Regions from separate parts of the Mus musculus genome. Here all the other regions are reported to be linked to region 5. The links are microRNA targets in miRTarBase. Many come from high-throughput screens and were not tested one by one. Region 5 holds a microRNA gene; each other region holds the end of a gene's coding sequence. Distances are between the middles of the regions.

Region 1 (3,080 bases), not on the chromosome of region 5:
ATGGCTGGAGAAGTGACCCAAGCCCTTGGGGGAGCCCAGAATATCGTGAGTTGGATCCCAGACATTGGACGGTTGGAGATTGATTTTTGCTTTTGATTGTGACTGTGCCCTGATATTTTTCCCTCTTAAAGGAAGAAACTATTTAGTGGAGCCCACAGTTAAGAGACTTTTAATTGTAAAAGATTTTGGATTTTAAAAGAAATGGATATTTTAAAGAGATTGAAATTTTAAGAATATGTAAAGACTGTGGGACATTTAAAGTTATATAGATCTTGGAGATGAATAAGAATGTAAGGGTTGAGGCTTACTAGTGATGTGTTTGTGTGTCAAGTTGACAAGGGGTCAATTGTACTGGCTAGTTTTGTGGAAACTTGACAAAGCTGGAGTTATCACAGAGAAAGGAGCTTCAATTGAGGAAATGCCTCCATGAGATCCAAATGTAAGGCATTTCCTCAATTAGTGATCAAGGGGGAAAGGCCCCTTGTGGGTGGGACCATCTCTGGGCTGACAGTCTTGTCTTCTATAAGAGAGCAGGCTGAGCAAGCCAGGGGAAGCAAGCCAGTAAACAACATCCCTCTATAGCCTCTGCATCAGCTCCTGCTTCTTGACCTGCTTGAGTTCCAGTCCTGACTTCCTTGGTGATGAAGAGCAGTATGGAAGTGTAAGTCGAATAAACCCTTTTCACCCCAACTTGCTTCTTGGTCATGATGTTTGTGCAGGAATAGAAACCCTGACTAAGACAGCCCAGCCTCCCCTTCCTTTCTCTCCAATTGTTCATGGACTGTGTGATCGAAGTTTTGGGACTTGGGGAGAGTAGAGAAAGAAAATCTTTTATCCTGCTAAAAGAAAATGTATAGATTAGCCACTGTAAAGCAAACACCACACCGATGTTCAGGCCTATGAGGCTGAGATTTATTGAAAAGTTTAAATACAAACCTTTAAATTGTTACAAAGTTGTATCATTCTGCCTGTCTGTATGAGCCAATATCAAGTAATATTCCTGCATCCGTGGTACCTAATATCAGAATATCAGAAAACTTATCAACTGTCTAGTGGTGACAGCCATCGCCAGCAAGCCAAGTGAACAGATGTGGGCTTCCTGTACGCAGGAGCAAAGCAGGCTCAGTAAAACATTGTGCATACAACACTGATTCTCAAAGCGAAATTCCTGAGCCGAGCTCTGTCTGAAAACATCATTTGTGTGAAAGGGAATCGGACCACTTGCCACCACAACCAGCTTTAGCTTCATGCAGGCACCGTCACGGCAGCCATATTCGCTTCTGGCAAATCAGTGGTTTGTCCCTCCACAGAATGTTTCTCCACAGAAAAGTGACCAGACTACACATTCGGAACCAACAGAGCTCATTGTATTAATCTTCAAGTTTTTTTTTTTTAATTTTTTTAATCAGTGCAAACTGCTTTTCAAGAGTCTACGCTTATTTGGGGGGGGGGGGGGGGCTTGGCCTGAAAAATTTTGTTATTGAGGTCTGATGAAACTGAAGAGAGGATATTTATTCCTGGAGAAGCTGGGATTACACTGGATTTCACTAGGAAGCTAATGCATTAAAACATGAAAATGTTGTTTGGATAGGTAAACACAGGAACTCTGGGCTAGACAGTCCTCTAAGGCAAAGGGATGAGAACTGAGTACTTTGGGTTTTTTTTTTCCTCCTTTGTCTTTGGTTTTCTAGAGACAAAGTCTCGCTTTCTAGATGAACCCTAAGTCCTACAGCAGCCTTCCTGTCTCAACCTCTGGAGAACTAGGATTGTAGGTTTGCACTGCCACATGAAGCTCAGAGCAAGGAGCTTTTCATCGTGTGTTCAGGTCACTGGCAGACTTATTTTTGCTAGCAAACAACAGCTTGAAATGTCCTGTGTGTGCTCACTTGTGTTGGGCAGGAATATAAAAGCAACTGAGTAGCTTGGTCTACTGCAGAAGGTTTGAGGCAATGATTCGGTGAGTGAAGGGCTTGCTACACAAGCATGAGAACCTGAGTTCCTGTCCCTAGAATCAGGGTAAAAATGCCGGCTGGGACAGACACCCCATTCCACCGCATTGGTGAGGGGGAAGGTAGAGACAGGCAGATCCTGGAGGCTCATGGGCCAACCAGTGTAACTGAAATAGCAGGCTCCCTGTTCAGCAAGAGACCCTGTTTCAAAAAGTAAGATGGGAAGTAACTGAGGAAGACACCTTGATGTGAGCCATTACCTCCACACAAGGGCCAGAACACAGCCCACACACACTTAGGCACATATATGCACAGCACATATGCACCGAAAACAACTGTAAAAGGTAAACAAAAGGATCACAGAGACACTTAAAAGGCATCACTGGTTGTGGACGCTTGCTAGTCAGTCACAATGAAGCATAAGACAGCTAGCGTGCTTCTTATTAACCAGAGAGCAATGTACACCTTCGACGTCATCATTTTCTTGCACATAAAAAATACAAATGACCTAGGCAAGGAAAACACAAGGATTTTACAGAAATTAAGCAAACACCTGTTTTTTTTTTTCCCCCCTCTATTGAAGGGGAAGTATTCAAGTCCAGCATTCACTGGTATTTCTTCATTAGACTGATTATTTCATCATACAGTTTCCAGGGGGCATCCAAACCCCAGATAAAATCCAGATGGTCCCACTCAGGAATGTTCTTGTGATACACCAACTTGGGGATTTGAGTCAGTAAGATAGTGATGTCATTGATGTCTGCCAGCCAGTCCCGGCCCCCGCTCCACAAAGCAGTGGGTAGACGCATGTTTTTTATGTTGTACGAGGGAGGAAAACTCTACAAGAGGAAAAAAAAAAAAAAAGAGTCATAGAAAGCTTTGCAATTATTCCTGTTAAATTTTTTTTTATTTTAATAAATGAAATCTCCATGGAAAAACAAATGTCTAGTAAGTTTGATTTGAAAGTAAAAATTTAATTTAAAAAACAAACAAACATGTTTTAAGAATTGCTTCCATTATGTTTTTCAGGTAGTCGTTACAAGGAGTAGAACTGTGCGGTTTTTTCCTCTTTGCTGCACTATAGGGACCACTTAATCCCCAGTGAGCATCACGGTTTCCCCCAGATGTGGA
Region 2 (3,080 bases), 50 Mb from region 5:
GCGAACGGTCGCGGTGTGTGTACTGCAGGGATATGTTTAATCACGAAGAGAACCGAAGGGGCCACTGCCAAGACGCGCCCGACGCCGTGAGAACTTGCATTCGCCGGGTGAGCTGTATGTGGTGCGCGGACAGCATGCTGTACCACTGTATGTCCGACCCCGAGGGAGACTACACTGACCCTTGTTCGTGTGACACAAGCGATGAGAAGTTTTGCCTCCGGTGGATGGCTCTAATTGCCTTGTCTTTCCTGGCCCCTTGTATGTGCTGTTACCTGCCCCTCCGGGCCTGCCACCGCTGTGGAGTGATGTGCAGGTGCTGTGGTGGGAAGCACAAAGCCGCCGCGTGACTCGGTTCCCCTACTTTCTGCTTCTCCATCCACGGCCACGGGCAACTTGTCTCTTGCGCACTCCCCCATCCTCTCCCTGGTTCCCTTCCAACTCCAAAAGGCTAGGCCAATAAGAGGAGGCCAGGCTCTGTGGTCCCTTGGTGACATCATTCCAAACCTGGGGTAGCTGCCGCCCCCTGTGTCAGCCACATACCCCCTCTCGCAGTGTTCTGAGGAAAGGAGCCTTCGGCATAGACTCGTGTATTTTACCAGCCTATAATCGTGCTGAGTGTTGGTTTCCTGCCCCTCCTTCCCACCTTTCTGGTTCTGCAGACTTGGAGGGGTTTATTGACTCTCCCCCCCCCTCCCCCGCTCTGTGACTTTTTTTTTTTTCTTCTCCCCATTGGGTTTGCCTGTCGCTAACTAGCATAGGTCCCACAGAGATGTGACAGAATGATGAAGCCGGCACCACAGCATGTTGTTATGTGAGGAGGCAATCTGGATAGCAAGCATGTACCACAAAACAGTAGTACTTTAACCCCTAATGCCACGTCTCCCCATCAGCTGCCGGTTTTGTCTTTAACCTGCTATCATCTCTTCTCCTGCCCCTCCCTCCCCATGAATTAATTCACTAATGCAAAACAATCACTTTTTAAATGACTTTTTGAGCCTTAAATCCATATTCACTTGTGAGAATCAGGAAAGAATTCCTCGAGTTGCTTTGCATCCTCTTGGACCAGGGCTTGCAAGGCGATTTGGGTTTCTGTGAGCTTGCCCAGTTGACCCGAAAAATAGGACTTTTTAGAATTGCATTGCCACTTCTAAAATCCTAGCAATACTTAGAATAACACATCAGTGAGATAAATTTTACTCAATTATTTTACAAACCAAATTGAGTTATTCAAACACAAGCCAGTATTCTGTGAACAAGTTCCAGATGAAAAACACAGAAGTTGTGAATGAAGTTGTAGCCATTCCCTGCCCTGCACTATATTTTTCAGGGTGCATTTTAAATACTATTGATTCAAACAGTGGTGGCTTGCGTTTTTTTAGGTATATATTTTTGGTTAGTTTTTTGGGGGGGGTTGTTTTGTTTTTTTAATTTGAGGCTCAATTCTTCATTTATACTTGAAAAAAACAAGGCCATATGTAAAGAAAAAAAAAAACCCTCTTTCAATGCCTAAGTGTCTTCTTCTATCACTCCACACCCACAGTTGCCACTTGGGGTGCACAGATAAGGGTAGGTCACCAACTGATTATGCCTGTCTCTGAGCCATGCAAGAGGCTCCTAATGTGCTGGGGGGGGGAGCACATATGCATATATATATATGAGAATAGCCAACTTCTACAGAAAAAAGACAAGTGGAAGTGGTTTACCAATACCTAGCATGGTACAATCAGAGCTCCGTGGGGACTGTAGGGAGCAGGGTGTTACTACTGGCCGTTCTTCCCACAGTGATTAACGGTAGAGATCAAGCTCAGTCCCCTTTATCCCCCCCCCCCCCCAAGCTCAGTCCCCTTTAGTCCTTCTTCCCCTCCCCCCTCCCCCATTGCACACAGACATCCGTCTTTAAAGGAAAAGGCCTTTTTTCCAGTCAATCAGTCAGTCAGTCAGTCAGTCAGTCATACTGGGAGAAGCTAGCCTTGCATCCCTAGCACTGTCTCTTCCTGGCAGTGCTTTCTGCTCGCCCGACAGACAGCCTGTCGTGTCTCTTTGGACAGACGGACCATCAGTGTAGATAATCAGCATGCTTGTGCATTACGTGGAGGTTGGAGGTGTCATCTTTGTTGGGATGACTGATTGGGGCTATCTGTTGTCAACAAGCGTCGTCTCCACCATTGTGGATGGAGGGGGTCTCTGTGCTAGGAGACTCTATAGACTGCCTCCAGCCGCCCTCCAGTGCTGTGGAGAGACTGTCCCCAGCCTGAGGGACTCTCCTCGGGCCCTCGCCTCTCTACCAAGCACAACACTAATCCTGTTTCCTTAAACCTCCGTTCAAGTGCCCCTATTTATTTCAGTGAGAATGCGTGTCCGGTTGCCTCTGTCCCTGTTTGTGCGTCCTTCCTCCCAGCCGGTTCCCACCCTCCTAAGGGTTATGCCAGTGGATCTCACGCCTCTGTGCATCACCTATCTTTGGTTTGTGAAGGCAGCAGTTAAGGGCACAAAGACAGCCATGGGGACATTTATGTAAATATGTTTAATTGCCACACTGCAGCTGAACGGTGTGTAGTATTTTCCCAGTCAGCTTTGCCATACTGACGTCAATCATTTGAGAGAAATTATTCAGATTTTATTTTTATATCCATGGTAACAGAACCTAACCAAAAGGTTTCCCGTTCAGAAGTTTCCTTAGCTCTCGTCCCAAGCTATTCGCTCACATTAACAAGTCAAAGTGCCTGAAGCATAACTCATTTACCTGTATACTAAAACCCCTGTTGTACTGATTTTTTTTTATAATAAGCCTTTTTACCTCTGTAAAAATATATATATATACAAGTGTATGATGTACATTTTAGTTCTTAACTTTTTTATGGTTTCTAATATGTATGACCAATGTAGCCATTGCTTTGAAATGTAAATATAAACACGTCCTATCCGACTATTGGCTTTGGGGTATTTGTCGGGCTGGAGTCCTCACACACAGAATGGGATGGGGTTTCCTTCAAAGAAAAACATGAGACGTGGGTCTTTTTTTGTGAGGCCCTTCCCACCTGTGGTTATATTCCGGGGGGCGGGGGGGTGAATAACATATC
Region 3 (3,068 bases), not on the chromosome of region 5:
GATGAGATGAAGTGTGAGCAGGGGTGTGGAGAGCTGCATGGATGGTGGGCATGGAAATTTAAATAGAGTTACAATTGTAGCCAGCATGCCCACTCCTGAGTGGCTACCCTAGAAAAATGAAAGCTTATGTTTGAACAAAAATTTCCAAGCAAATGTTAATAATAATGTTATTATTCATGCTTTATTTTTCTACCAACCCAAACTTTGAATTCACAGTCATGAGTGACATGAGGGGGAAAATGATAAATGATAATATTTATAAAGGATAGCCAGAAATACAGGTCAAAAAGGAAAAGTTATTTGTGTCTGTCTTTTCATATTCATTCAATACTTTTTTCCAGTGATGAGCTATATCTAGGCCATGAAGCTTCATCCGCCTTTAGGAGTTATACAGCTGTAGCTCGAGGCAACAGAGACTACAACATTCGTGCACAAGAGCCAGAGAGTGGGCTTTCAGAAGAGACTCAAGTGAAGTGCTTGGTGGACCAGGCCACAGACCCCAATATCCTTGGCAGGACTTGGGAAGGATGGGAGCCCTGGATGTAAAGTCTGTGGTGTCACCAATCATAAAGCATTCTGTCTCCGAGAGGACCTCCTAGACCTTCGCTGACAGCAGTATATTTCTGACAGACAGAGGAAATCTACTTTATGGTGCTGGCGAGATGGTCAGATAAAGGCATTTGTTACCAATGCTAATGGCCTAACTAACTTCAATCCCAGAAACCCATATTGGAGGCAGTGAACCAACTCCAGGAAGTTGTCCTTTGACCTCCACACATGTAAAAAATAAAGAATATGACAAATATTTCTTCCTTGTTTCAAAGAATCAGCTCTTAATTTCACTGATTTCTTTGCATTTCTTTCAATTTTATTTCTTTAATTTCTGCTCTGCTCTTGATCATTTCTCCCTGTGTTCTGTTGTTGGGTGAGGTGGGTGTTTGTGCATCATGGTACATGTGTGGAAGTATGTACATCCCATGATGATTTGATCCCATGATCAAATTCAGATCATCAGGCAGAAGCATTCTACCCTGTTTGCATCTCAGATTTGTGTGTGCATGTGTGTGTCTATCTATGTCTGTGGGACCTTGAAAGGCAGCCTGTTTTCTGGTCGAGCTAGGTTTAAACCCCAGAGACCCAGCAGATTAGTCTTCAAGGGACGGAAGGAAGTTTGCCACATGCTCCCAGACACTAGGCTCCTGACAGGAGGCCCCAGCTCCATAATTCTGTGGCCATCAGTCACACAGGCTGTCTGCATTCCACCCCCACAGTTACCTGGCAATAGCCAGGTATGTTCCTCCCTACAGTTACCTGGCAACATCCAGGTAGGCCAGCCCACTATAAAAGGGGCTGTGCAAAAAAAAAAAAAAAAAAAAAAAGCTGGGCGTGGTGGCATATACCTTTAATCCCAGCACTGGAGGCAGAGGCAGGCGGATTTCTGAGTTCAAGGCCAGCCTTGTCTACAGAGTGAGTTCCAGGACAGCCAGGGCTACACAGAGAAACCATGTCTCGAAAAACCAAAAAAAAAGGGGGGGGCGGGGGGGCTGTGTGCCCCCTCCTCCCTCTCTTACTCTCTTGCTCTTACTCTAGCCCCTTGCTCCCTTGTTCCCCCTCTCTGTCCACATTCCCTTCTCCCTCTCTCCACGTGGCCATAGCCGGCCTCTACTTCTCTACTCTCTCCCTCTCTCTGCCTTTCTACAATAAATGCCTGAAAACCATGGACTGTCTCTTCTCATCAAGATTCACCATGCTGCAATGGAGCAGGTCTTCCACTAAGGAGCGGAGCCTAACCTCCCAAAGGAGGCCTCCCTGTGTACCCAGCTACTTCCACCACCACCAAGCCACCCACTGAGCAAGCCACTTGAACAAGCTAAGGACTCTCCTCATCACCAGCCAGAGTTCTCACCTCCTGCCCTTTAACCTTTGGCCCCAGGCCAGAGCCTGCCCAAGGACCCCCACTCTGTTCTCAGCTCTTCTGTGATGGCATCAGCGGTGTCCAAGAGCTAGAACCTGCCATCCTCAGCCTCCATGCAGGCCCAGGGACCCCGAGCCAATTCTGGCAGTTCTTCGGGGACCCCAGACTTAGCTTCCAGGTCTCAGGAGCGGGGTCCTGCGGCTTCTCACAGCCCGACACCCAGCCCAGCGGCGGCTGTGTGGGGTCCAAGCAGTCAGACTTCCCGTGTCCTGCTTCATGCAGTGGCCCGAGCCCTGGGCTCCACACGGCTCGACACGGGACCCCATTTTTAACCCACATTGGAAGTATGTCAATCCCACGGATCAAACTCAGATCATCAGGTCTGGCAGAAGCATCCTACTCTGTTGGCATTTCAAATTTATGTGTGTGTCTGTGTGCTCTGCTAAGTTTCCAGAGCTGCATATTTTGTTGTTTTTATTGCTGTTAGAACAACCTGTTCCTTAGTGTAAGTGTGGTATTTGAGTCACCTATTTCTGTGTTAGGGTTAATCTTTATGTCTAAAATAGCATTTGTTTTACGAAATTGAGTACACTAAGTTTTGTGCATATATGTTCTTGATTCAGTCTTAAACGCGTTCTCACGACCGGCCAGGAAGAACACAACAAACCAGAATCTTCTGCGGCAAAACTTTATTGCTTACATCTTTAGGAGCCAGGAGCGCAAGCCCCAAGCCCCAAAAACGAAAGGCCCCCCGCTTACATCTTTAGGAGCCAGAGCGCCAGCGCGCCAGAGCGCCAGAGCGCAGAGCGCAAAAGCGCAAGCAAGAGAGAGAATGGCGGAAACCCCGTCCCCTTTTAAGGAGAATTATCCTTCGCCTAGGACGCATCACTCCCTGATTGGCTGCAGCCCATGGCCGAGTAAAGGCAGAGTACATGTAGTGGAAAATTACTCTTGGCACATGCGCAGATTATTTGTTTACCACTTAGAACACAGGATGTCAGCGCCATCTTGTGACGGCGAATGTGGGGGCGGCTCCCAACAATTCAGTATGAAAAGACCTTTATCTCTGATAAGTTATGCTTTAAGTCTATTTGGCTTCAAATCCTGGTTTCCTTAGCATGGAATACCTTTGCTCATCCTTTCACTTTAAGAT
Region 4 (3,080 bases), not on the chromosome of region 5:
GCAAAGTCACACACTTTGAGAGGTAGGCAGACAGCTGGTGTGGGAGCAAGTGGACTACAAAAGAAGTCAGCTTGACAAGTGGTTACCCCTGCCTTGTTCTTCACAGGTTGCACCACAAGACCGGAGTTCCTTTCTCTCAGATGGTCTTCTTTGATGATGAGAATCGGAATATCATAGACGTTGGCAGACTTGGTACTGAGTCACTGCTGGGGGGTGAGGGGGGGGGAGTTCTTAAAAGAAGATAAAGTAAGTGTAGGGTGGGTAGTATACGGCAGAGCCTTGAAAGTGTGGTAAAATGTGACTGCTCTTTGTTCCAGGCGTTACCTGCATTCACATCCGGGATGGGATGAGTCTTCAAACGTTAACTCAAGGATTAGAGACATTTGCAAAGGCCCAAGCTGGACTCTGAGGTCCAATCCTGTGGATAAGCCTCATCTGCAGTGTAAAACTAAAATCAAGAAAGCCTTGTCAGGGGCTCTTGTATTAAAGTGTCCACGTGTGACAGTCAGGGTTCTGCCACCGTATGGGTTGTTTCCATTTTTCTTTTCTTTTTCACAAAGATTTATTTATGTATATGATACTGTCATTGTCTTCAGACACACCAGAAGAGGGTATCGTATCAGATCCCATTACAGATGGCTGTGAGTTACCATGTGGTTGCTGGGAATTGACCTCAGGACCTCTGGAAGAGCAGGCAGTGCTCTTAACCACTGAGCCATCTCTCCAGTCTGTTTCCATTTTTCTAACATGTAAACTGAAGTTGTGTCCTGATTAGAGTGCACCAGGTTGTTGTTTCCTTGTGTTGGAACCCACCCTGAGACCTCCTCCAACGGTTTCAAATAGTGGGGTGCCATAACGCTGTGCATTTCTTTGTAGGGACTAAAAGTTAATACTGTTTGGAAATAAGGTTGGGGCCGGCCGGCCTTTTCTGGTAGTAGGGAGTAGCTCAGGAATGAGCCAACCATAGCACGAGGCTTTGTCCCTCCAAGGTTTTAATTGCGCTATATCCTGATTGATGATGTCATGGCTATCTATATCCTGGAGGGATTGGCCAAGGCCCTTCTCAGAATGGTGATAGTCTAGAGGAAGGCAGGCAAGCCGAGGGATAGAGGCGGGAGAGAGAGAGCAATGAATGGACTCTGGACTCGGCAGACTCTTTAGGAGGTGTGACCCTGGGAGACATTGGGCCTCCTGGGAGGTGCTGGCCAGAAGGGAATGGGAACAACAAGAGCCAGGCAAGAAGAGGCCCAGGAGACAGGCTGGCCTGAAAACCTTGACCCAGCCTGGCACCCTGTTGCCAGAGGCCAACCTTATCCAACCGCCTTGTCCCAGTCAGCCTTGAGCTGGACTGAGTCAGGGGGTGTGAATGGATGGTGGTGAGACAATTGTTAACTCCTGTGGCATGCATGGGCTTGAGGGGACTGCTTTCCAGGTGGCTGTATCCAGTCGTTTCTAAAATGTTGTTGCTTACTTCATTTGAATAAAAGAGATCCAAAGTGAAAAGGAAAGACAATTTTCTTTAAGCTGTATCTGCTGATATGGGTGTGTCTAGAAAAACTCATTGGCAGTATAATGTGCAACTCAGCAATACAGATGATCCCAAAAAACCAAGGCAGCATAGATGTAGGCTCTGGATACCATGTTCAAAAAGGCTTACCGTTTTCCCGGTGTGACACTGAGGTAACCCTGGGAGGAGCCTTCACGACACATATACCCAATTACAGTAGTTTATGGAAAGCTGGCCGTTCTGAGTTTGGGGGATGTGGGGGATGTAAAAAGGAAAGGATGTAGGAGCGTAGATGGCGAGATGAGCAGGTCATGAAAGACCTTGTATATTCCAGAAGCATTTTTGGGTTATTATCCCGTCAGCAATGCAGAGAGGATGGGAGGGTTTAAAGCAGGCAGAAGGCACCAGACTTTTATTTGCAAAGGTTATTCACTATAGAAATGGGGGGAGAGACTGGTACATTGTCTTCCCTGTACCCCAGTCCCTTGAACTTCCTTTAGTTTGATCATGTAGAGCAGGATCTTTGACATCAAGACAGACAGCAAGTGGGACAGTGGTCATCAAATGTGACTTAAAATGAAACTAAGAAGGTGCCAAAGAACATGGGCTTTGGAGTCTGCTTGCTTCTTTTATTTTCCTCTTTTGAGTCAGGATTTTGCTATATATAGTCCTGGCTGACCTGGACTCATGTGAAGGTCAGACTGGCCTCAAACTTACAGCTATCCTCTTGTAGCAGCCTTTCAAGTGTTGGTATTTTTAGGTATGTGCCACCATACCCAGCACAACATTTTGATCACGACTTAATCTACTGAACATGACTCCAGACAAAAACATTTCAGTCTTTGTGCTCGTCTTCATATTTGTCCAGTGACACCAACACGTTCATTATAATTACTTAGAATGTACACCTAGCATACACTGTGTACTCAGTAACTGGTAGCTAATACTTTTCCTTCATACAATACGGGTGTGCTCCATTGGACTCTTGAAGAAAAGGAGGGTTTAATTCCTGAAGAAACAATACAGAAACTGGAGGAGACAGAAAAAATACTGATCAAGAAACTAGAACTGGAGTTACTGGTAGTTTTGAGTTATCAGATGTGGTGTTGGGAACTGCTGGGTCCTCTATAAGGTTTTTTCTCTTTTCTTTTTGGTTTTGTTTTGTTTTGTTTTGAGACAGGGTTTCTCTGTGTAGCCCTGGCTGTCCTGGAACTCACTCTGTAGACCAGGCTGGCCTCGAACTCAGAAATCCACCCGCCTCTGCCTCCCAAGTGCTGGGATCAAAGGCGTGAGCCACCATCGCCCGGCCTTTTTGGTTTTGTTTTGTATGTGTTCTTTTGTTTTGTTTTTGATACAGGGACTTGGTACCCCTGGTTGTTCTAGAACTTACTATGTAGACCAGGCTGGCCTTAAACTCAGAGATCTCCCAGCCTCTCTGTCTTCTGAGATTTTTTTTGTTTGTTTTCAATTTCTTTTATTTTTGTGTATGTCTCTGTGTGTTTATGCCACATGTGTGGGTGTCCACAGAAATCAGAGGAGGGTCTTGGGTGCCCCAGAGCTGGAGTTAACAGGC
Region 5 (3,080 bases):
CTTTGTTACTCTATTTATTTTAGTCACTTGTACAAAACACCAAATAAAGCAAATAGAGGCCAACTCCCCAAGCCTCTGGCTCCTTTCTTTGCGAGGCAGGCAGTGGAGAGGAGGGAGCAGTGACATTCACGGCAGACAGTGACTTGGTAGAAAATTTATTGTTAAGGCAATAAGTACTCCATCACCCCCATAAAGGGTTTTGGCATCAGAGAAGGCACATGACCTTGCCAGGGCCTGATTGGGAGTCTCAGATTCCCAGGGGGTTACCGGTGACCAGGCCACCATTCTCCACCATGGCCTTGGAGATGCTTCTGAAGTTCCGGAAGAGCTCCTGATGCTGAGGGCTGGACTGCAGACTGGCCATGTTTTCTCGGATCCGAGTTGCAGCCTGGGGAGAGGGAAGGGGAGGGACGGTCAGGCCGTCCTGTACTGGGGAGCTCCAAGGCCCACCTGTACTGGGGAGCTCCAAGGCTCACCTCAATGCACCAGCTATCACAGAGCATTTTCTCATGCTGTGCCGTCGGGTAGCCCTCACTCAGGGACCTTGAGGCTCTGTGAGGAAACAGAGGTTAAAATGATCCTGAGTGCTGGTGTTGGCCCAGCTCCTCTGTGGCTCTAGCCTGCCAAGCGTCCCTCGCTGCCGCCTTACCTGGACAGAACCACCACCATGGCATAGAGGTCAATGGCGCCGTCCGCCAGTCGCTGCAGCAGGAACTGCTCGTCTGTCAGGTAGATGAGGGTGGGGCTGTTAGTCGGAGGGAGGGAATCAGGGAGGGAAGGGGGTTGCAGAGCTCACTCACTGACAATCCCTTTCTTGTGTTTCACCAGCTTGGCCTCCACCACGGTGGCAAATTGATCCAGAGCCTGCACTGCCTGAAGAGACAAGAGTCACAGACAGAGCTCAGGAGAGGAAGGCAGCGCACAGCCACCGCAGGCTCTGCTTTAAGGCTCACTCACCAGTTCACCACTGCGACTTAACTCTGGGTGGACAATCCCTGACAGACTCAAACCACTGCCGATTCCTGTCCTCCTGAGAGGAGATGGAAGAGTGACTGGTCAGTTGCGGCCTCCCATCTTGTTTGACCCTGACTCTGACCCTGGCCCCGGCCCATGAGGTACCGTCTCAGCTGTTTGCCTGCTTCTCCCATCAGGAGGCCAACGTTTCCAAAAGGATTCTTCAGGGCATTGCCCAGCCCAGTGAGTTCCTTTCCTTTGTCCTGTGGAGAGAAGGGGGACGGCGACAGTGAGGACTCAGTGTCCTCCCCAGCTGCTCTCTCTCATCCTCCTTCCTCTTACCATACAGCCTTGCAGAGCCACAAACAGTCGAAGAATGTCATTTGCCCCTTCAAAGATCCGGAAGATTCGAATATCTCGGAGCACACGCTCCACCCCTGGTTCCTGGCACGCAGGAAGACACAGAAACCTCTGTTGAGATGTGCCTGTCCACTCTGAACAGATGCCCCCCCCTGCCGAGGAATACTCTGTACCTTCATGAAGCCCATGCCCCCCATTATTTGGATGCACTCATCTGCCACTTTCCAGGCCGCCTCCTGAGGACAGAGAACCAGATGAGTTGGATTTTTGAGCTGAGGTCCTAATCTGGACTCCGCCCTCCCATCACACCTGGGTCCTCACCGAGCAAAAGATTTTGCTGATGGCGGCTTCTATCTGGAAGTCTTTGAATCCCTGGTCCATGTTGGCACTCAGCATGTAAGCCATGGACTAAGGGAGCATGGTCGGGACATGGGGAAGACAACAGGGAAGGGCTGCATCAGACAGAATGGCTAATGCTCAGACCTTCAAGACCAGTGCTGATCTACTCCTCCAACCCTTGAATTCACTTTAGCCTCCTGGTCAGGTCAAATATGTCCAATATGTGACCCTCTGGTATATCAGGGGCTTCGAGGCTTCCGACTTTGTAAAGGGGTGGGTTAAAAGTCGTGTTTGGTGCATCTGGGCAGCATTTAGCAGAGCAGCACCACCCTCCAGAAGAGAACTGACTATGCCTCCTCGCATCCCCTAGGGCATTGGTGTAAAGCTGGAGACCCACTGCCCCAGGTGCTGCTGGGGGTTGTAGTCTGACCCAACTGTGAAGAAAGCCATAGGGCTCCAGGGAAGGGGCCCAGGAGGCCCTTACCTCAGTCACATACTGCAGAATAGCCATCCGAGCCAGCTTTTCCTGGATCACCCCAAAGTTGTGAATTTTGTCCCCAAACTGGGTACGATTAGTAGCATGATCAACCTGCAAGAGGGCGCATGTTACCCCACTGTGGTTCTTCAGTTTCCACCTGGACGGGCTGGAGGCCTAACTGTGCCGATGGTCGAGTGTGCATGTGTGTGTGTCGGCGCTCTGAGGCAGTCAGGGACATGTGCTAGCTAGGGACTGGGCTGGGACTCACCGCCTTGGCAATGAGGGATTTCATGGTGCCTGCGAGGGTTGCAGCCATCCCGAATCTTCCGTTGTTGAGGATGTTGACAGCAACCTTGAAGCCATCTCCCACCTCTCCTAGCACATTCTCTGATGGCACCTTCACTCCATCAAAGTACACCTCTGACGTGTTAGATGCTTTGATGCCCATCTTCTTTTCAGGGAGCCCACTGAAAAGGCAGGGCAGGAAAGTTGAGGTATGAACAGGTTGCTGTGGGGGAAAACGGCCTTTTCGGGTCTCATGATCAGGGGAGAACTCCCCAGACTATAAAAAGGATACAGGGCACTGCCTATGTGCCCCAGGGGCTACGGATATCTAGCTATGGCCTGTTAGCCTGTGTTCCCCCAGTGGAAACAAAACTGCTCACCTCCTGTGGGTGCCTCTTGTACAGAGATAGCCCCAGCGTGGCCTGTATTGACTATTTGCTCTTGAGAGCCCAGTGCTGTCCCCATCCTTGATTCTGTTTTGCCCCATACTCACTGGGTAACCCCTCCGAAGCTCCTTTCCACTACAAAAGCTGTGATCTTCTCTTTCACGGCCCCCGTGGCTGCATCTTTAATTGGCGTCTTGGCAAAGACAGTGAAAATGTCAGCCAGGCCCCCATTACTGTGGAAGAGTGAGGTGGTTAGTATAGGGTTTAGAGCAGCAGGG
Region 6 (3,080 bases), 31 Mb from region 5:
GAGCTGTGTGTGGCTTCCACCTGGGCTACCTGGATGGAGAGGTGGAACTCGTCAATAGCGTGGTCACCCGCCTCGTGGCTCTGTACAATCAGGGCCACATCAAACCTCGAATTGACTCAGTCTGGCCCTTCGAGAAGGTGAGCTTGAGGACCCAGGGGCAGATGGTTCCTGTCGTCTTTAGCCGGGCTCTGTAAGTGGGGCGGACAGCATCAGGGACGGTCTTCTCTTTCTCTCCAGGTGGCAGATGCAATGAAACAGATGCAGGAGAAGAAGAACATAGGCAAAGTCCTCCTGGTTCCTGGGCCTGAGAAGGAGACCTAGGGCCAGAGGGCTGAGGGCCCTGGAGAGCCGGGGAGGGAGAAGATGGGAAGTCCTGTCGTGTTGCCCACCAGCCTCTCACATTTCATCCTGTCACGATGCTCTACCCTCCCTCCCTCCCCCAGAGAAGGTCTCTGCTGATGACTGCTTCCCTGCTCTGAGCTCGCTCTTGCCCTTCGCTCAGGGCTCTCCCTCCCCCCCACCCCTTCCTGCCCTCAGGAGAGGTTGGGAAGTGACCACTTGGATGTCTGGGCCCTGCCAAGGGGACAGGGGGGGTCAGCAGGAGGCTGGCTGCTTCCTGCCCTCCCCCCTCTCCCTGGGCCTACCATGCTGCTTTTGTGCCAAGGTTAGCCAATCCCTCCCTGCCCTATCCTGTGTGCTTCCACCTCAGCCTCATCCTCCCTCCTGCCCCACCCCCACCCAAAGAATCTATGCGTCAGCTCAGGACGTGGGGCCGATCTGTGTGAGTCCAGCATGTACCTGTGTCCCCCGTAGTATCCCCGCAGCCCAGGCCGACGAGGCCCACCCCTGGACTTGATCAGTATTCAACCTTGTCTCCTGTCCCCAATGTCGTAAGCACAATTAGACTTCTTCCGGCTTGAGTTTGCTGCCTCCTACAGCAAGGACAGGAATCAGACCGACTCCCTAGCTTACGCTCTGGGAGGGGTACTGGGTACCCCACCCTTCACTGAGGCCTTTGGATTTGTCTCAGTGCCTTAGCATCTGAAAACCTGTGCTTGTATATGTGTGTGTATGTGTAGGGGCAGCCCCTATCTCTGGCTCCTTTTCCACCCTTCTCCCCAGTGCCTTCCTCGTCCTGGTGGAGCTGAGGCCTACTCCTCCCCAGTCCAACACTGCCAAAAATCTGTGTATGTGCCAGGGGTCGGGGGTCTGGGGGTAGGGGACAGCTCCAGCCTCTGGGGACCAATTGCTTTTACTGTGGTCTGTGGCCTGTCCTGTCTCTGTCAGTGGAGAAGAAAGGCAGTGAGCTGGATCAGCCAGAGTTCTGGGAGACAACGCTGGGTCTTATTCTGGGACCAAAGTGAGAATTCAAGCACATTTCTTTCCTTTGCTATGTAGGGAGGCTGCTGCCTTCCCAGAGCCTGGAGGCAGCTCTGCTGTTCAGCCCCAAACTTTGTTTACACTGCTAGGGAAGGAGGAGCTCCGGCAAGGGAATAACTAGGCTGGTTAAAAGAGTCAGGGCTACTGGAGCCAAGGTGGGGACCTTTGAGGCTAGGTGGGGGTCACCTGCTGCTTCTGAGCTTGGATTAGAGAAAGCTCTTAACTCCAGCCACTGTCAGAGGGAGTGTGGAGGGAGGGACCCGGCCTCTCTGTTGTCAAATTGAGGCCTCCATGTGGGAAGTGTGATTTCTGCTTTTGTGTCCCATCCCCACCCCACCCCATTACCACAGCTGCCTTTGTGTCTGTGTCAATAAAAAGCCAAACCCTGAGTCCTGACCAGATGTTGTATCTGAGAGTTGCTGGAGAATGGGTGGTAGTGATGCGCACCTTTAATCTCAGCAGTTGGAGGCAGAGACAGGCAGCTTGGAGTTACAGGCCAGCCTGGTCTACAGAGGGAACGTCTGGAATATACAGAGAAATCTAGTCTCAAATGAAAGAGAGAGAGAGAGCGCGCGCGTGCACGAGCGAGCCATGGGAAAGCCAGTGTCAAGGTCTGCGTTCTGCCCTCTCTCTCAGCTATCTTGAAGTAAAGAAGACCATCACACCAGGTTGGCACTTTGACCGTTCTTGGTAGCATTAGGCAGTAAGTGATCCTAGTCCCCAGCAGGTGGACATGCAGGCCTAGCTTGACTCGGAAGTGAAGATAGCCAGGCCCTGCTGCCCTGAAGGCACAACTGTCAGGGCCTCCACCTCCCCGCCCCCACGAGTGGGCTTCTGGAAGTGGATCTCAAGGATGTCATGCAGTTCCTGGGCATCCATGACATCAGGAATATTTGTCACCAGCACTGAATGAGGGGCTTGCTGGAATTTGATCTAGAAAAAGAGACAGGAAATGAATGAATTGCAAGGGTTCATGGGAATGCAGGGCAGTGGCGAGCAGAGGCTGGAACAAGGACCATCCCACAAAAAACATGGGATGGGTCTGGAAGCTCAGGCTCCTGTGTAGGCTGGAGAGGCTGGGGGGCCCTGAGCTCTCCCCGACAAGGAGACGCTTCCCCAGCCCCACCTTCACGTACCTCGGCTTTCTGGATCTCACCACTCACATAGGGAGAGACCCTCAGGAGGACCTGCTGCCGGTCCAGTGGGACTCTGAACTGGCCAATCTGGCATAAGTGCTGGGCCACTGTGAGAGACAGGGAAGGGTGGCCTTGAAGGCTTCTCGAGTCTCGTGCACCCTGGCCCCCTACCTCTTCTGTAGGACCCTTACCTTCTTCATCAGCAAACCCTAGCATGACGGTCCCTTGCAGCATCTCCCGGGTCTCTACATCCCCACCTCCATTCTTGGCCTTGCCAAAGAAGATCTCCAGCTTGTCCAACAGTTCCTCTTCACTCAGCCTAAGTCCAGCAGGAAAACCACTAACGAGCACCCTGTGGTTATCTGGCTGGCTGGACACCTAGCAGGAGACAGGGCAGGCTCAGCTGACCCACTCATCCATAGGACCCAAATGCTGAATCCCACCTGTTGCATGGAGGACCCTGCCACTCTGTCACCTGAATGTTGGTCACCACAGGCAGCTCCAAGGGCTGGACCTGCACCCGCAGCCGGCAGTCCTCTAAGTTAACTCTGTGTTCCTTTTGTT
Region 7 (3,080 bases), not on the chromosome of region 5:
CGGTTGCACGTGCAAACTTTTGCAACACTTGGCCTTTTAAAAACACCATCAGAAAGTACGGTGAAATCTAAGTATTGGGGGACACATGGTCTTCAGCTGACACCAGATACTTCTGGGGAGGACCAGGAGAAGTCGCAGGAAGTTCCCACTGCCTTGATGTGGTATTTCATCCTCTGTGACTGCCCCTGGGAACCAGCAATGACTCTTCTTTCTTGCTGAGGGGCTTTCCTGACACTGGCTCTGTTCCACCTCAGACTCCGGTGTCACAAGATCGGCGGTTCTCTGTCACTGCTCTCCCCTTTATCCTCTCTGGCCAAGTTTCTAAGAACTCTCACTCACAGGTAATATACACGCATGTCAATACGTTTTTGGGATGACAGGCAAAAATAATTATCAGAAAAACCAAGCCTTGAAAGCATCACGGGTCAGGAATGACCTCACTCCCACAGACTTCTGGCTGCTGTCGGGGACAGCCTTTCCTTCTCTACCCCAGCAATCCAGTCATCTCCTGTCAGGTTGGATCCAGGAGAAGTGAGGTCAAAACTGAAGAGTCAAAATCCCAAATTGTGTGTTTTGTTTACTTCTATGTAGGTGAGAAGATGCTTTTAAATAACATTTGTGCTCCACCATAGCAGATGTTGAAAGTCTAAAAGACAGAATGGTATCCCCCTACATTCAACCCTTAAAACCGGGTTTGTTCTTGTCATGTGAACTTGGTTTTTCAATCTTCCAGAACTGTGAGGATTATTCTGAAGACAGTCATCTAGTTAAAATCAAACAAACAAATAACCAAACAAAAAACTTCTGTACCACAAAAAAAAAAAAAAAGAGAAAAAGAAAAAAATTTTTTTTTCTTCTTACATTTTTAGTTGGGAGAAGAAATGTTGACCGTTAGGGAACCAGTATTGGAAAATAGAAACATCATACTGAAAAATCTGAAGGTAGGTGCTATAAATACCAACAGTGAAAAGAACTGGGTTCCTCCTGTCAAAACATGCCTCACTCAGCTGCTTCTCAAAGAACACCCGGGTCGGGTGTCCTCCCACGAGTACTGAGTTAGTACTGAGTAAGTACTGAGTACTGAGGTAAGTGCACAGGGCTAGACCTGAAATCAAAAAGTCAGAGCACAGAGACAGAAACCAGAAAGTTCAAGGCCTGGGTCCAGTAGAATTAAGAGAGTCCATTTGTTAAATAGGTCAGTTTCTCTCTATATCAAATTAGAATAATTGCAAATTTAAATACGATTTTCCAAGAACACTTTAAAATAAAGGCCTTGGCAAATCTATACCATCTGTTCCCAATACGGAAAACAGTGAGATACACGCACTACCCCTCCCTGCAGACTGATTTCTGCTAGTAAAGAAACAACCTTTTACAGAGAAGCAGCAGGGTTGGGATGACAGGCAAGAGGGCTGGCCAAGTCTGAGAGTAGGCAGAGATCGGAAGGTTGGGATCTTAGCGTTGAAATAAACTTTAAACTTTAGCAAGCTCCTCTCCTTGTCAGGTGGCAGAAATGCTAGAGCAAATCATAGGCACGGGAAGTGGGCGGCAGGGCAAAGACAGAGACATTCCAAGAGCAGGTACAGAGGTCTCAGAGGTGGTTCTGCAATCAACCAGCAGGAAGGCGAACAGCGGCACTGGGACCAAAGATTGGGAGGAGCGTAGACTTCAGCTTCTGCGCAGAAGAGCCCCAGGGTGGGGGATTGAAACCCCTCCAGCGGTGGGGGCTGGGGTAAGAGCGAAGTCTCACGTGTGAAGGTGAGTCCTCAGACTGCCTGTGACAGGACGGGGGTAGGAAGCATTGCATTTGTCTCCAGAGAAGCAATGAGCCGAGTAAAACACAGAAGGAAGATGGCACGACAGCCATTGCAGGGTGGAAGCTTGATTAGAAGAAACCTGTGGGTGTCTGACTTCCTTCTACAGTTAATTTAAAATCTAGACTTCTGCAGAAAGCTAAAGTGACTGCAGAAGAGTGAACCCTACAGAATCCTTCTTCACTGAAACCGTGGTTTTCAAGGTCTACACAATAAAACACAGTGTTTGAAAACGAAGTTTGGCGGCCAAGGTATCTGGAAAATATCTGGAAGAAATGCCTTCCACTGTGGGGTATCAGTAAACCTCACCCGCACTTATACTTTGGGGAGCCACTTCTTGGACAGCGACCCCCCAAAGTGTCCTCAGACAACCACAATCCCACTGTGAGACTCCACAGAATCTAATTAAACCATCCACACATGTGGCCATTTCCTGACGCTTTCTACACCCAGTTCACTGCCTCGACTGTTAGTCAAGCATCCCGGAGCAGCATCCCTGAGCAACCATGGCTCTCTGAGCGGTCCTGGCCACCAAGTCCTGTTCTCTTCCCAATCCAGTTCCAGGTGATCTGGAACAAGGGACTGCACAGGTTTGGTTCGTGACTGTTTTACTGGGAGGCACAGCCCAGCTGCAGCCTCTTATGATGGGAGATATTCCGAAGTTCTTGGCCTGCCCACTTTTGCCATGCTAGCCGAGTGGTAAGTGTGTTGCTGCCGGCAGTTTCTCCTTAGTGTCCCGCACAGGATCCAGGGTTAGTAAGCGGTGTTTAGACAATGGTGATCTCCGTTGGGCTGGCATCTGGTATCTTAAGTTTTTCCAGAACCTGGTCTTTGCAGACTGTGGTCTTTCTTGAAAGTCTCCTGACCAGCAAATGACTCCGTGTTTCTGCTTAATGAACTGAATAGAATCTGGCATTTTCTCATAGTCTTGGATTTTCTCCAACTCAAGCAGGACGATTTTAATTCCTTCCTGGATGAGAGCATTGTATATGGCTATTTGCTCTTCAGATGACTGGCCCAGCCAGCTGAAGCCTCCCATATCTCTCACTAGAATGATAATCAGCCTCCTGCTTTTCTTTACATTTTCATTAGTAACCTCGATGGTATCTGTAAGACACAGAGTGCAGTGCAGTCAGGCAAGAGGCCATCAATACATTCTTTCCTGAATTCAACACTCAAAGATGCTCTTCCCAGACTCCTTTTTATGTCCCCTGTTGCTTCTTCCTTGCCTTACTTGAGATTCAAAGACAATTAAAATTTACAGAC

The links. Region 5 holds the annotated microRNA mmu-miR-324-3p (CCACUGCCCCAGGUGCUGCU, at 2,047-2,066, shown strand). A microRNA usually pairs through its seed, bases 2 to 8, with sites in the 3' UTR of a target mRNA and lowers its output. Matches are read on the target gene's strand: a 7mer-m8 pairs with bases 2 to 8, a 7mer-A1 pairs with bases 2 to 7 and ends in A, and an 8mer does both.
Region 1: miRTarBase lists Lipa as a target of mmu-miR-324-3p. Seed matches in the 3' UTR shown: 7mer-m8 at 1,778-1,784.
Region 2: the mRNA of Spred2 is a reported target of mmu-miR-324-3p. The part of its 3' UTR that is shown has no 7-base or 8-base seed match.
Region 3: the mRNA of Prkdc is a reported target of mmu-miR-324-3p. Seed matches in the 3' UTR shown: 8mer at 735-742.
Region 4: the mRNA of Mdp1 is a reported target of mmu-miR-324-3p. Seed matches in the 3' UTR shown: 7mer-m8 at 694-700.
Region 6: miRTarBase lists Vat1 as a target of mmu-miR-324-3p. Seed matches in the 3' UTR shown: 8mer at 1,299-1,306.
Region 7: miRTarBase lists Il1r1 as a target of mmu-miR-324-3p. Seed matches in the 3' UTR shown: 8mer at 2,269-2,276, 7mer-A1 at 286-292 and 7mer-m8 at 147-153.

What each region holds. Positions count from the first base shown.
Region 1 is chr19:34,491,426-34,494,505 of GRCm38, forward strand. Lipa (lysosomal acid lipase A) reads right to left here. Exons shown (of 10, transcript NM_021460.3): 10 at 891-2,788. The coding sequence ends at 2,555. Among named protein-coding and RNA genes, the nearest start is that of Ch25h, 18 kb to the left of the region's middle.
Region 2 is chr11:20,021,101-20,024,180 of GRCm38, forward strand. Spred2 (sprouty-related EVH1 domain containing 2) reads left to right here. Exons shown (of 6, transcript NM_033523.4): 6 at 1-1,497. The coding sequence ends at 347. Among named protein-coding and RNA genes, the nearest start is that of Gm39603, 14 kb to the right of the region's middle.
Region 3 is chr16:15,841,430-15,844,497 of GRCm38, forward strand. Prkdc (protein kinase, DNA activated, catalytic polypeptide) reads left to right here. Exons shown (of 86, transcript NM_011159.2): 86 at 342-810. The coding sequence ends at 546. Among named protein-coding and RNA genes, the nearest start is that of Mzt2, 20 kb to the right of the region's middle.
Region 4 is chr14:55,656,312-55,659,391 of GRCm38, reverse strand. It overlaps Mdp1 (magnesium-dependent phosphatase 1), which reads left to right. Exons shown (of 6, transcript NM_023397.5): 4 at 1-22; 5 at 107-192; 6 at 318-1,503. The coding sequence ends at 409. Among named protein-coding and RNA genes, the nearest start is that of Mdp1, 2.6 kb to the left of the region's middle.
Region 5 is chr11:70,010,049-70,013,128 of GRCm38, forward strand. Mir324 (microRNA 324) reads left to right here and starts at 1,995; the gene lies at 1,995-2,083. It overlaps Dvl2 (dishevelled segment polarity protein 2), which reads left to right. Exons shown (of 15, transcript NM_007888.4): 15 at 1-61. It overlaps Acadvl (acyl-Coenzyme A dehydrogenase, very long chain), which reads right to left. Exons shown (of 20, transcript NM_017366.3): 9 at 2,910-3,035; 10 at 2,400-2,598; 11 at 2,138-2,242; 12 at 1,636-1,722; 13 at 1,488-1,550; 14 at 1,297-1,398; 15 at 1,120-1,217; 16 at 958-1,030; 17 at 801-873; 18 at 650-722; 19 at 477-552; 20 at 135-388. The coding sequence ends at 248.
Region 6 is chr11:101,457,434-101,460,513 of GRCm38, reverse strand. Vat1 (vesicle amine transport 1) reads left to right here. Exons shown (of 6, transcript NM_012037.2): 5 at 1-137; 6 at 238-1,766. The coding sequence ends at 321. It overlaps Ifi35 (interferon-induced protein 35), which reads right to left. Exons shown (of 7, transcript NM_027320.4): 4 at 2,992-3,080; 5 at 2,708-2,894; 6 at 2,517-2,623; 7 at 1,813-2,313. The coding sequence ends at 2,122. Among named protein-coding and RNA genes, the nearest start is that of Vat1, 7.2 kb to the left of the region's middle.
Region 7 is chr1:40,312,816-40,315,895 of GRCm38, reverse strand. Il1r1 (interleukin 1 receptor, type I) reads right to left here. Exons shown (of 11, transcript NM_001123382.1): 11 at 1-2,921. The coding sequence ends at 2,503. Among named protein-coding and RNA genes, the nearest start is that of Il1rl2, 10 kb to the left of the region's middle.